Linked DNA regions of Drosophila melanogaster. The protein of the gene in region 2 interacts with the protein of the main gene of each other region in a pairwise test. Each region holds a gene or a part of one and is shown on either strand. Other genes may lie near its edges.

What was found. The genes of interacting proteins can lie anywhere in the genome.
Region 1: the proteins of metro (region 2) and veli interact in a two-hybrid assay, tested with the Drosophila melanogaster proteins (2 studies listed by BioGRID).

The regions. Positions count from the first base shown.
Region 1 is NT_033777.3:25,063,918-25,067,203, forward strand, and holds veli (veli), read right to left. Parts: upstream 1,675-3,286; 5' UTR 1,598-1,674; coding exon 1,561-1,597; intron 1,498-1,560; coding exon 944-1,497; intron 880-943; coding exon 730-879; 3' UTR 501-729; downstream 1-500. Other genes in the region: stac (staccato), read left to right, coding at 18-199, 261-352; PQBP1 (Poly-glutamine tract binding protein 1), read left to right, coding at 1,961-2,024, 2,085-2,716; Stt3B (catalytic subunit 3B of the oligosaccharyltransferase complex), read right to left, coding at 3,090-3,161, 3,216-3,286.
Region 2 is NT_033778.4:11,225,329-11,235,828, reverse strand, and holds metro (menage a trois), read left to right. Parts: upstream 1-3,312; 5' UTR 3,313-3,675; intron 3,676-5,780; 5' UTR 5,781-5,846; coding exon 5,847-5,889; intron 5,890-5,952; coding exon 5,953-6,230; intron 6,231-6,286; coding exon 6,287-6,418; intron 6,419-6,795; coding exon 6,796-6,825; intron 6,826-7,152; coding exon 7,153-7,320; intron 7,321-7,391; coding exon 7,392-7,713; intron 7,714-7,872; coding exon 7,873-8,166; intron 8,167-8,285; coding exon 8,286-8,806; 3' UTR 8,807-9,371; downstream 9,372-10,500. Other genes in the region: CG13227 (uncharacterized protein), read right to left, coding at 177-539; CG13228 (uncharacterized protein), read right to left, coding at 1,419-1,826; CG13218 (uncharacterized protein), read left to right, coding at 2,125-2,565; CG7737 (uncharacterized protein), read right to left, coding at 9,713-10,500.

The DNA of each region.
Region 1 (3,286 bases), on a different chromosome or scaffold from region 2:
ATACCTTCATTCGGCAGAAACTTGAGTGACCACCAGCGAAGTGAAAAGAATAGTCTTATTGTATTTAGCATCAAAGATAAAGATTTATTCGGCATGTCGAGCCAGTATATAGCAGAGAGCTATATATCTTTCGCAGATCTGGAAGCGACACCACCGGGCGAGCAAATAATGATGAATCTATCCAGACCAGAGTATACAGGTACCTAATCATACTTTTGGCAGATTAAAACTGGAAACTTATACATGTTATGTGCTTTCAGATTCCGAATCACTGCGTGCCTTGGAATACAGACTAGGTGATAAGCAGGCCAAGGATTTCCTTAAAAAGCTGAAGAACCGATCCTTCTCCTAAATTGTGAAAAGTTATACGTTGTAAAGAAAAGCAATAAAACTGTATTTTTATATTTTCTACGGCAATCGTACTAAAATTTACAAAGTTGCGTTTTGAAATGGGCCCCATTTATGGACTGAAACTTATGAAGAAAAGATTTGCATTGTCTGACAGTTTTAATTACATTTATTGGAACAAAAACCAACGCGGTAATTAGTTACAAATACATAACACTCACTTTTTACGATTAAAGAGTAATTTTCCAGAGTTTCTTTGTAATAAATAATATATAAATGGTATTTGTGTTAAATTATATTATTCGTAAAGGGCTTGATACGTGCATATCAGCATGGTCTAATGGCAAAAACTACTATGGCACAAGTTTTTGCCGATGTGCCTTATTGGCGACGACGTGTGTTGCGTTGCTTATCAAATCGCATTTCCATTTCCTCGAGAACCTTTGGTGTGTAGCGTACCACCAGCTTTACAGATCCGACAGCTTGCTTTAATAGCTCTACGGCCTTCTCGTGGTTTTCTCCTTCGACAGACTGAAATATTGATATTTTGCAAGTTCTTAAGGAGTTAAGGTACATAACTGAATTAATGACTTACCACACCATTCACAGACAAAAGTTGATCTCCCCTTTTCAGACCACCATGCCTGTCAGCCACGCCTCCAGGTATTATTCGGGATATATAGATGGGCGAGTTTTGCTCCTTGCCCCCCATTACATTGAAACCCAAGCCTGAAAAACAAAAATTAAAGATTGATAAAGCTTTCCATATAAGATGTATAATAGAAACATATATTCTCGGTCTATAGACCTTTACAATCAAGGTATTGGTTTTATGATATAGGGGAATCCCCTCGATTCTTAGCTCATAGGGGCGTGTCTTACCCTCCTCCGTTTTCGGGAGCTCGACGACTCTGGGATGAGCGTGCCCCTCGCTGGCTGCGAAGGCTGCCACAGTGGCCTTGGCAGTGGCGGATGCCCTCACGTCGTGGGAGCCCTGGATGTCCACCGTCTCGTAGACGTGCTCGTACACCTCCCGCACGGAGGTCATGAAGTCCGAGTTGAGCACCTTCTGCAGGGCGGCCAGTTTTGTCGTGGGGAAGTCGCCACTCGCTTGCAGCTTTTCCAAGAGCTCTATCGATCTTTTGACATCTGAAAGTTAGAGCATTGGGTGTGAGTTTCCTCCAACTGGGAATGGTTAGCATGCACCCTTACCTCTGGACAAAGTCAGTGGTTCTGCGTTATCGGCCATATTGCTGTTCAATTTAATAATAATCAGTCAAATTGAGCTGACCTGAAATATTATTCGAGCAGCTGAAAATAATATGACCATACGTCTCAGGGGCACAAAATACCATTCCGTGAAATTATATTCTCTATTTGAAATAATTTGGTTTAATAAAATAGTAACAAAAGTTATATTTTTTATATTTAACAATATATCATATACTTATAATCTAATCTCAGTACTTTTCGTTTAAAAAATTATCTTTTGAAACAAACAAGTTTCTTGAAAGTGTGGTATTTTATGCACGTACATCCATGGTCATATTATTTTATATTGATATTATTTCCGCACCGTATTTATTTAAACTAACAATAGAATAATAGCAAAATGAGCCTGCCAGCTGCACTATTGCAGCGCCTGAAGAAGCGCGGACTTGTGACCAAACAGTCGGGTAAATACAAAGACCAGTATAGAATCCAAAAAGAGGATAACCAACTTCAGCTTTCCACAGGAGCAGCACCGATTTCAGAAGCTATAGAAGAGATTATAGCCGAGAACTACGATGACGATGACAAGAGCGGCCCTTACCCGTACAAGGAGGACACATCGCCGGAGCCCAAGCGCAGGAGCGTCGAGGAGAAGTTCTGGTCGCACCGCATCAAGGAGCGGATCGGCGTGAACGAGTCCTACCATGGCTACAAGCTGTGTCCCAACAAATACAACATATACCACAAGTGCTCGCTGTACTGCGTAAACAAGTTCAACAGCTCGCCGCTTTCGCAGCCCAGCCATAGGTATCTCAAGCGCTACAAGAGATTGCTGCGGAAGTATCCACTGGAGGCGGGCTGGAAGGATGTCTACGATAAGGGCTGCAAGGCGTTTTACTTCTATAACTCGACCACACAGACTGTTTCGTGGCTACCTCCTTCGCATCCCAAAGCACGGATCACCAACAGCGCCGCAGTGTTTCGCAGACAACTGGCCAACTCCAACGATGAGTTCAACTTCGATACCAACATGGTTCAGCCCAAGTCTTCTAACCAAAATGAACCCGACGAGCCCGACGTATTCGTTCCCGCCAAGAAGCAAAAGTCCAGGGACCTGGAACGAAAAATCCAACGACGTCGCCGTAATGATAACTAGCACTACTAACTAGCCATTTGACTTATGAGCTGTAGATCGCTACTGTTCAAATAAAAATGAATAACTATGATAGATATTAAGGTTTAAAAATGTACACTCTGCTTTATTGAATTGCTAGCTTAAGACAATGAATGGTGGAGCCGCGAACAGATTTAAATCGAAGGAACCGGAAATTTTACGAAAGCAGCAACTCGATAAAATTGTGTCGCACGAGTCGGGAAGTATGTGAAAGTTGAATTTGAGGCGGCGATTAAAGCCCTCAACATGAGGATGCGGTGGACACACTTTCACCAAACTATGTGCTATGTGTAAAGTGTTTTAACCAAGTTATATATATTGGTGAAAGATCAATACAATTATTTTTTTTTTGGGTTTATTTCAAGGTTCGTTTTCCCTTAACAACAACCGGTCGGTTTCGTATGTAGCCCTTGCGACGCTTAGAGTTCTGCAAAGAATCAGATTGTTAATGAAGTTCATTGGGAGCTGCAGGGTACACTACCTTTCTCGAAATGAAGTTTGCTGGAGGAATCGTTCTCTCCTTGGTCTTCAGTGATGGTCTATTGAACTCAT
Region 2 (10,500 bases):
AAACACCTCCGATCTCAGCTTTCCCCGCCATAAATCGAACGTGTTATTAATAAACTCTTAAAAACAAGCGATTGGATGAACTTGCATAAGGCAAGCAATTTTATTGCACCCAATGGGGCAGCACAAAAGAAGTATCACAAATCACAATCAAGCACAATCAAATCCATGCAAACTGATTAGCCGTAGAATCCACCGCCATAGTAACCACCGCGTCCGCGGTAACGGGTGCGGGTGACCACTCGAGTTCTCTGGAAACCACCGCCGAATCCGCCACCAAAGCCGCCGCCGTAGTACGGTGGTGGAGGTGGTCCAAAGAAGGGTGGTGGCGGTGGTCCAAACGGTGGTGGTCCAAAGTACTGGCGCACTTTCCTAACGTTCTCGTCTGTGGAATCAGACTGGGCCGTTTCTCCGGCGTCCAGCAGCTGAATAGAGCTTGGTTTCTCCTGCACCACTTCCGTTTCCGTTTCATCGGCTCTAACAAAATTGCATAAGAGCAGAGCAGCAATGCTGAAGAAAAATATTATCCACTTGTGATCCATTTCGATGTCGTATTCCTTCTCCAACTTCGTCAAATACTAAAACTCATCGCCCAGCTGGGCTTTAATTTATAGCCAAACATTTGCCAAGAACACCCAGCACCTGGTGTCATAAACAAAGGCAGTTCATTGGCATTTCTTGATTGCCATTGAGTGTCTTTTTTTACATTTTTCGTCTAATTTCAATCGCAGTCAGGCAAAGACGCCGAGAATAATCGTCGGTTTGAAAAACCCAAAAAATCGCTTATACAAATACATAAGGTTGACCCAATCTTAATGGGTATATAAAATGAATTATGATGCGGAAGTGTGAGGCAACCGTGGAACGCAAACTAGATCTCTTTGGATTGTAACTCGATGTGCAACTGATTGAGATCATAATGGGTAGATAATTAACTGTGAATGATGCAAGGTTACTATAATAATAATCAGAGTAAAATATATTCTTAAGATCCATATTTGAAGTACCAAGTAACCAGATACCATTTGAGACGAACATTCTTGACATGACAAGACAAATCAACAAAAGTCGATAAAGACTACAATTAGCAATCCGATAACCCACAATTGGATACCGCTCTTCAGGCCAGCCAACTTGACCCACTGTAATCGCTTGATGGCTTGTTGTTTACCACTTAAAAAGCCCATCCGCCTCGCCTCGCGCGATATTCGACATACATATGTACATATATATATGGAAGCAAATAGCAGCGAGAGACTCTTCCAGAAATAACAGCCAGTTAACTACGGAATATGCAAGCTCATCGACTTTGTCGATTCCAAACACTCGGCAAAATGAAACTCGATCTTGCAGTACTTTTTTGTTTATCCATTGTTTACACTAGAGGGTCTCAAGAAACGCTCAGATTTATTCGGAAACGTCTAGCCAAAGAAACCGCCTTTGAATTTGGCAAAACCCACAGCGCCGCCAACGAATCCGCCGCCTCCGATGCCACCTAGTCCGCCCAATCCTCCTCCAACGGGATAGCCACCGCCATATCCGTAGCCATAGCTGGGTATCGTCTGTATGACGGGAACAGTGGTGATGATGGGCACAGTGGACACAACGGGAACTGTTTGGATAGCGGGGGCTGCCACTATGGGGGCAGCAACTCCTCCGCCTCCGATGATGCCGCCGCCCACGATACCGCCTCCAACGACTCCGCCACCTCCAAATCCACCAATGTGACGGGGTCTTCTAATGTTCTCCTCGTCGACGCTGGAGAGGATCGGTGTGGTGCTGACCACGGCGCACGCCAAGACGAGCAGGTAGACAGTTTGCCACAACATGATGGGGTTAACTGTTTGGTCTGCCCCACTCCCAGCTGCTTATTTATGCAAATTAATTAGTGGCCACTGTTTGCACTTCCAATTTGCATATTGGGGCGCCCGGGTAAAAAACCCATAACTCTAAGGCCCCATCTATGTTTTGGCGGTTCTATTGGGGGAATCATGGTTTTGCCCACTGGTAAGGTGGTTCACACCTCATCATCGTCATCGTTTGTGGTCTGAAGGTCGCCGGCCTGGGCATTAAAAGCCAGGTGATTTAGTTAAGGTAACTCACATCGTTATTGGACACTCAGCCGAGATGAGGTGCGATCTTCAAGTGCATTTTTTGTTATTACTGGCAATTGGCGCTTGGCGGACTGAAGCCCATTCCCTGGGAGGAGGTGGAATCGGAGCGGTTGGAGGAGTGGCAGCCATTGGCGGAGTTGGTGGCATCGGAGGAGTCCAGCAGGTTCCCGTTGTGCAACAAGTGCCCGTTGTCCAACAGGTTCCCGTCGTGCAACAGGTGCCCCTCATCCAACAGCAGCCGCAAGCTCTTGGCCTAGCAGGTGGAGGTGGATTCATTGGTGGCGGAATCGGAGGTGGTGCCGGTTTTGGACGCTACAAGGAAAGCTATCGCGTGCGAGCGAGGGGATTCGGTGGTGGATACCGCGCCCGGTACGACAAAAAATTTGGAGGAGGATTCGCCGGACTTGGTGCTGCTGGAGGAGCGGGCTTAGCTGGTGGCGGTCTGCTGGGATAAATACAAGCATGCTATGTAGTTTAATAACCAATTATAATAAATTGTATTAGTACCATTAATATGTTTATTTTTAACAATGAGACTTTGTTTATAACTAAAGCAGACGCACTTTCTTAAGGATAAGTATTTACAAGCTAATTAATAACAATCAATTCATATGCCGAATTATGGTAACATAATCCTGAGAACTTGCTCCTGAACACCCTGTATTTCTTCCGCTCTGCATTTCTGCTGACCTGCGCAGATTCCACCCCCAGCAAAAGTCCAATTGGCGCTCTGTGCTCTCCCACTTTATGATTTCCCACTCTCTGGTGGTGCATTTCGTCCCATTCATTTCCGTTGTTCTTCTACTTACTCAATATATCACGAGCACGCTCTAAATTTCTTTTACTCTTGTTTTGACTTGTAAAGAGAGTGGTACAGTGGTTTACATTACAGTACATTTTTTCAAAATACAATAAGTTACAATGGATATGCTTTCGAAAAGAATTTTTTTTGAAATATACATATGTGTTTAAAAATATAGATTATTATTATCATTTTGATTTGTATCTGCAAAATGTTACATTTAAATATTAAATAAAGAAAGCTTGTTTACTAAAATCCACAATACTATAAGTTATCAAAGTTTTCCATAACAAATAGTATGCGGATTTAGTTCTAAGAGTAAGTGTTAAGAGTACCAAGTTTGGCGCTCTTTAAAGAGCTGGACAGATTCGCGAGATGGCAGTTCCCTCGACGTGGAAATGAATTCCTGAAATTAAACGTTGTTCTTTGCCCGTCGTGTGCAGTCGCTCTCGCTCCCGTTATTCGCCGTTCTGGGATTCCCGCTGGCGGACTCTGGTGGCCATCACCTTGATAATCCTTATTGTGAAATATGTGAAGTGCTGCAAAGAGTCTAAGGATATCCTGATATATTAACGGTTAACTAAACTAGTGCGCAATATTAGAGGCCTAAAAATAGCGAAAATAGCAGACATGCCGTGTTTTTGTGCCTCTGTGTGTGCGTGAGTGTCTGCGAGTGAAGTGGAAATTTAAAAATAAAACAACGCTGGGACTCAACCGAAATCCGTCTGTATCGTATTGGCCAACTGCCCAGAAAAACTCCAGGTGATAAGCTCCATTCGAATTATTGTTCGTTTTCTTCTTTTTGGCCAGATTTTGTTGTTAATTGAATGCTCGGGGGAAAACTTTTAACACTCTCTCAGCTGTCAGTCTCTCTCTCTCTCTCTCAGCGATTTCAATGTCTTTATGACTTTCTCTTAAGCCACCGCTATTTTCAGTATGACCAGATTATCTCTTTCGTTCGGACTTAAGGAACACAGTGCAATTACTTGAAGTTTTCAATTACCCTAAATAGAAGGAGAGATTGGGGGGCGTTGAAGTCCTGGCACCTGCCTTATCTACTCGCCATAAGGACTGTCTCTTATGCCGCCCCATGCCACCCACTTTCGCAATTGACGAACCCCGGGCAACGTCATTATTCCGCTTTTCGCCAGACCTCTTGGCCCCTCTCGGCTTTTCTCAGTGTAATTAGTGTGATTGGGGCCAGTCTTGACTCGCTTTCTTGGCTTCTGCTTGCCATTTGGCTGATTGACAGCAGTAATAGTGGCAAATGCAACAAGCCCCCACAGGGAATTGCCTTGAAAGTACGGAAAGCTGTCCAAAATAATACCTTTACCAAGTTAAAAGTTGTACACCTAGCTGTAACATCATTCGTAGAAAGCAAATTCTGAACCAGATTCTACATATGTTGAGAATGGAGACTAGAGAGACTAGCTAACTAGAGATTCCTTGAACAATACAAAATGGTGTGTTTGTATTTTCTCAATTTCTCAAAAATCTGCACAAATTGTAAAACAGCGCTTCCTAAAACAACCCATTTGTTTTTACAAGTAAATTGTAATTGATGTGAGAAGGTAGTGCTTGTACACGATGGTGGTAGTTTAGACAACGGTTGATATCCTGTGGTTTAAACTTACCACCCTCTGGAATAAAATAACCTCAAATGGCGCTGCATCCCTCGGATCCCACGCACTGACGTCGCTGCAACTGAAACCCTGAAAATTGAAATTTTAGCTCGTGCTTCTGCTGGGTGGCTGTGTGTGCCGACGAGTATGTAGTTCAAGGTCGTTGGCCAACTTTCGGAAAGTGTCGGAGGGCCAAGATGTGCGTTTTTCTCATTACCATATAGGGAAACAGAAGCGCGAGAGGCCGTGGCAAGTTGAAGGACACGCGAGTGCCACACTTGAGACGCTATTCTTGGGCTCCAGAGGCGTCCATTCAGTTGACACTAATCACCACCCACGTACCACAAAGCGTGACACTAATGAGCACCGGTCATGCAATAGGGCAGCGTGTTGGTGACCTCTTGGAATGTGGCACCTGGCCAAGACCAGTCCTGCAGCACGGCAACAGGATGCGCAGTCATTGAACAGTTAATGGAGTGCAGATTGCAACAAGGGGCGCCAACATTCCGGGCCACTGGGCAGATGAAAGTGGCCATAAATCCAACGCCTGCTCTAATCATATCGCCCCCTGGCCAGAAGCCAATGGGCGACAACAGCGAACGTCCCACTTGGCCGGGCTTAATGTCAGCTAATTGCATTGGCGTTCCGCTGGCTGGGAGCTCTTTAGACTTGGCGTCGTCAGTGGGGCTCCCCAGCTCCAATGTTTCGGGTTCAACGGGGCGCAAACTGTTGTTATGGTAACCAAACAGTGGGACTCCTTTAAGGTGGTTTCAAGAGATGATGACAATGGTAGAGAACTATATAAATCTGAGCTTGGTATTCCATTTGGCTTTTAAATGTATTTCTTTCAAATAAGTTTATGGCTAGATACAATCAAACAGTAGTTAAACTAATAATGGTAAAGATACACGACAAATATTTCTTATCTACAATTTTTAAATATCCTATTATATTTCCAACCTAAACAAGTATAACTGTATCTTAATATCCAAAACGAACTTCGTCAACATTTACCAGTGTCTGGTGTCCTTTGGCGAGTGACGCAAAGTAGTCGCTTCTCAGTGGGTGGGGGTGGTTATGGTGTTTATGGTTATTGGGTGGTGGGTGGCAGCCTTGGGCCTGGAATTATCATTCGGCTTTGGCCTGGCCCGCTTGCCCCTCGTTGACATGTTTATGCGCAAATTTACGAAGTCTCTCTCCGGTTGTTGTTAAAGTCTCATATCGATTTTGTTAACACGATTATAGGAACAGCGCCAAAGAATAACTTGTAAAGGATAAGCAAGGACAGTGACTCGTCGACTGTTGTGTGACATGCTAGAAGCAGTTATGGCATCGGACATCAACTGGGATCCTGGTGAGTTGAGTGACGCACCCAGTCAGTCCAAAATGATTGATTAACCTTTCGCTCGCTGTGCAGCTCTTTCCAAGCTGATCAGCACGCTCAAGGAGTCGGAGAATCTATCCAATGACCAGGAAATCGACTTCCTGAAGGCCTTGCTTGAATCCAAGGAACTAAACGCGCTGGTCAATGTCCACACGAAGGTGGCCAAAGTGGGTCGAGATGATCGTCTGGCCCCGGTGCTCTCCACCTCTGCCCAGGTGTTGTACGAAGTCCTGGAGCAGCTGTCCCAGCATTGTCATCTGAACGATGACTGCAAGGAGGCCTTTCACCTGCTGCAGGACTCTCACCTGCAGGTGAGCTGTTTTATTTTGATAGATGAACGTTCTTATTAATAGTTCATTATTTTCAGCACCTTCTGTTCGCCCACGATGCGATTGCCCAGAAGGACTTCTACCCGCACCTGCCGGAGGCGCCTGTCGAAATGGACGAGGACGAGGAGACCATCAAGATTGTGCAGCTCGTCAAGAGCAACGAGCCCCTGGTGAGTGTTCGTCCAGTGGCACCAGCGCTTTCCATTTCCATGCCCATCTCATCGACGTGATCGCTGTATTGTGCTGTCCATCGCTTTCCACCGTCCACTTTCGACTTTCATTTCCGTACCCCGCCCCGACTTTCACCGCCTACCCTTCGCCTTTGCCAACTGCTCCTTTCTGCGCCTCCATTCATACTCGTTCTACTGTTGTTATCGCCTCCATGTCAACTCTTTTCAATGCTAATCAATTTTGTCAACTTTGCCTTTGTTAAAATCGAATGAAATCGAATCAATTTCTCGAATTCGCCCATACCAAACAAATATGCATTCGTTAACAAAAACAAAAAAATGTAAAAATCCAAAAATGTATAAAAAAAAAAACACAGACAGGAGCACAGAGTACGGAGCCAATTGTTGTAAGTAATCGAATGTCCATAGCCGTAAAATGTCCACTGTAAGAAATAAAACAGAAAACCCATTCGCCAAGCACTGAAGACAACAAACAACAGCCAGGAAGCTGTGCACACACCAAGATACATGTCACATAAGATACCATTACCATCCTTTGTTCCCATTCCGTTGTTCTTGTCGCTGTGACGCATCCATTAGATACACTCACATCTAGAACATCGGAAGCCGCACTCCACACAGATACACAATCGCACACACACACACACTCTCTCCACACGCACACATACGCGCCTTGCGTTGGCTTTCTAGTAACACGAATTGCCTACTTTTAGGGCGCCACCATTAAAACGGACGAGGAGTCGGGCAAGATAATCATCGCCAGAATTATGCACGGCGGCGCTGCAGATCGCTCCGGATTGATTCACGTCGGCGACGAGGTCATCGAGGTCAACAACATCAACGTGGAGGGCAAGACGCCGGGCGATGTGCTCACCATACTGGTAAGTATGCTTAGAATTGATCGAGAAACCTCATTCTTGATGTAATTTTCATACCTTTTATAAACAACCAGCAAAACTCGGAGGGCACCATTACCTTTAAGCTGGTTCCCGCGGACAACAAGGGCGCCCAGCGCGAGTCCAAAGTGCGGGTGAGGGCCCACTTTGACTACAATCCGGATGTGGATCCCTACATTCCGTGCAAGGAGGCGGGTCTGGCCTTCCAGCGCGGCGATGTGTTGCACATTGTGGCCCAAGACGATGCCTACTGGTGGCAGGCGCGCAAGGAGCACGAGCGCTCGGCAAGAGCCGGTTTGATTCCCAGCCGGGCGCTGCAGGAGCGCCGTATCCTCCACGACCGTACACAGAAGAACGGCACCGATCTGGACTCGAAGCGTAAGCATATCGCGTTGCCAGCCCATTGCTTCCATAACATTCGCTGTTCATTGTCTTTCCATGACTAAAATTGCTCTAATTTCATTCTTCATCTGTGCCCCCCTCATCTAACACTCGACCCAACTCCAAATGGTCCCATCCATGCATTGCCATCGCCAGCCGGATCATGCGCCTCACTATGCACCACCCCACCTGGCTCCCCGCGTCTGCCTGCGAGTAGCAGCACCTCCTCCTGCCGCCAGCCCAAGACTAAAAAGATCATGTACGATTTGACAGAGAACGACGACTTTGACCGCGAGCAGATCGCCACGTACGAGGAGGTGGCCAAGTTGTATCCACGGCCCGGAGTCTTCAGGCCCATAGTGCTCATCGGAGCACCCGGCGTGGGGCGGAATGAATTGCGCCGCCGGCTGATAGCCCGGGATCCCGAGAAGTTCCGCAGTCCGGTTCCGTGTAAGTTTTCTTAAGTTTGTTTTATTAAGTGAACAAATGAACTAGTGTAGAAATGACCAAGTGAACAAATGGACCTCTTTTCGAACATCTTTAATAGAAAACCTATTCGTTTTTTTCAGACACCACCCGACCAATGCGCACAGGTGAAGTGGCCGGACGAGAGTACATCTTTGTGGCCCGCGAGAAAATGGACGCGGACATCGAGGCGGGAAAGTTTGTGGAGCACGGCGAGTACAAGGGCCATTTGTACGGAACATCGGCGGAGAGTGTCAAGTCGATTGTGAATGCCGGCTGCGTATGTGTGCTGAGTCCGCACTACCAGGCGATCAAGACTCTGCGCACAGCTCAGCTGAAGCCCTTCCTCATCCATGTGAAGCCACCAGAGTTGGACATCCTGAAGGCTACGCGAACGGAGGCGCGTGCCAAATCCACATTCGACGAGGCGAATGCCAGAAGTTTTACGGACGAAGAGTTCGAGGACATGATCAAGTCGGCCGAACGCATAGATTTCCTATACGGACACTTCTTCGACGTAGAGCTGGTCAACGGCGAACTGGTCAATGCTTTCGAGCAGCTGGTCCAGAATGTCCAGCGACTGGAGAACGAACCGGTATGGGCACCATCCATGTGGGTGCAGTAGATCGGTTGCCAAATGTGGACAAGCATTTCATGCAGTTTGTTGATGAACACCAAAGTATTTTTGCCATACGAATTTAGCAATCTGCTAGAGAAACGGAGAAGAGACACTATTTACCCGTAGGCGGTCCTGCTGGGCACTCCCGTCCGGCCTTAGTCCTTTTCACGACATGTACCTTTTTGCGTAACAGTGAAAACAATGTAATGAATACAATAATTATTGACAGAAAGTGAAGGAAATTTGAACTCAACCAGCATCTAACTTACAATTAAATTATATAAACTTGTTGTACAAAATTTATTTGTGTTCAAAGAATGACTTAATTATAAATGTATGTATTACACGTTGTTGAAATCAAAGTACAGAGTTAATCCCCCCGTAAAACCTAAAGCTAATCGTATTGTATCTCAGTTGTATATACACTCACTAACTGAAGCATATTGGATACAATGTGAAGTTCTGTGTGACGACATGTCTCATTTCGAAAACTGATTTCACCAAAAACGTAGTGACAAATTGTTGAAAACAAGTGAGAAACTAATAAAAAAAAAAAACTATTTTAAATGCGATTGAGAGGGAAGCGTTTTTCATTAGCTTAGCAATTGATGATGTATATATTAACTTTATTTAGGTTAGAGAAGACTTAAACACAGCTTTATTGGGCAGCGCACTTGTTGACATATTGACATGCTCACGTACATATAAACTCGTAAATATAATCTGTCACCTATGCTAACCTATGGCAAATGTGTAAATTATTAGCTTAGGCATATGAAGTCTATCCAGGATGTACTGATCAGTTTTCTTGATTGTATCTTGTAGTGCGAAGACAGAATTCTACATCCACACGTATAACTGGGTCAGGTATCGCTGTCGTCTATACATGTTCTACGATATCCTAGCCTACAGCTAGAGTTGCGATTTGGTTCCAGAACGGGACACGCTTATTCCGTAAAACTGGGCCAGTCGTCTGGCCTCCCGCCATCCCGCCTCGACTGCTCCGTGAACCGTGGAGTAGTAGTGCTCGCTGGACGCTTCTCCGGCGAACTGGACAATGGGTCTATCGCAGCGACTCTGCTGCCACGCCTCGTCCTCCGAGTCCTTGTCCTTCTCCGGAGTGGTGGCCACCACGGTCAGGGGATGGGATAACTCCCGTGCACCCGTTCCCAGCTGCTCCGTGTCCATGGATCGATAGGAGTAGGACCCACGAAAATTGTCATTCGTATACCAGGCAGAGGTGCGGAAATTCGCGGGATCTGGGATTTTCCACCTCAGGAATCTTCGGAAGAGGTACATAACGCCAGCCTGGACCTCATCAACGGGAAGGGTTTCCATGTGCCTGCCGCTCTCATTGGTTATCCAGCCCGCCAAGATTCTCGGCTGATAGCTCACCCTGTAGAAGCCAAAGACATCCTCCAACCATGCTCGAGAAGTGCCGCGTATGTCATCCAAATCCTCGTCCCGCCAGAGCATGGTGAAACCCGTCCAATCCTCGGGCCAAAATGCCTCGGGAAACTCCACAAAGATTTTGTTGACCGTTCCAAAGGCCAAACCGTCAATGGCACGTTGTTTCTCTACTGGAAGCTGTGGCTCAAATAGCCGAAGGTGCTGATCCTTGAGAACTCCCAATGAAACCGTGACCACCACATGGTCAGCTATACAGGTCTCTCCATTGCTCATTTGAAGTTCCACGCGTC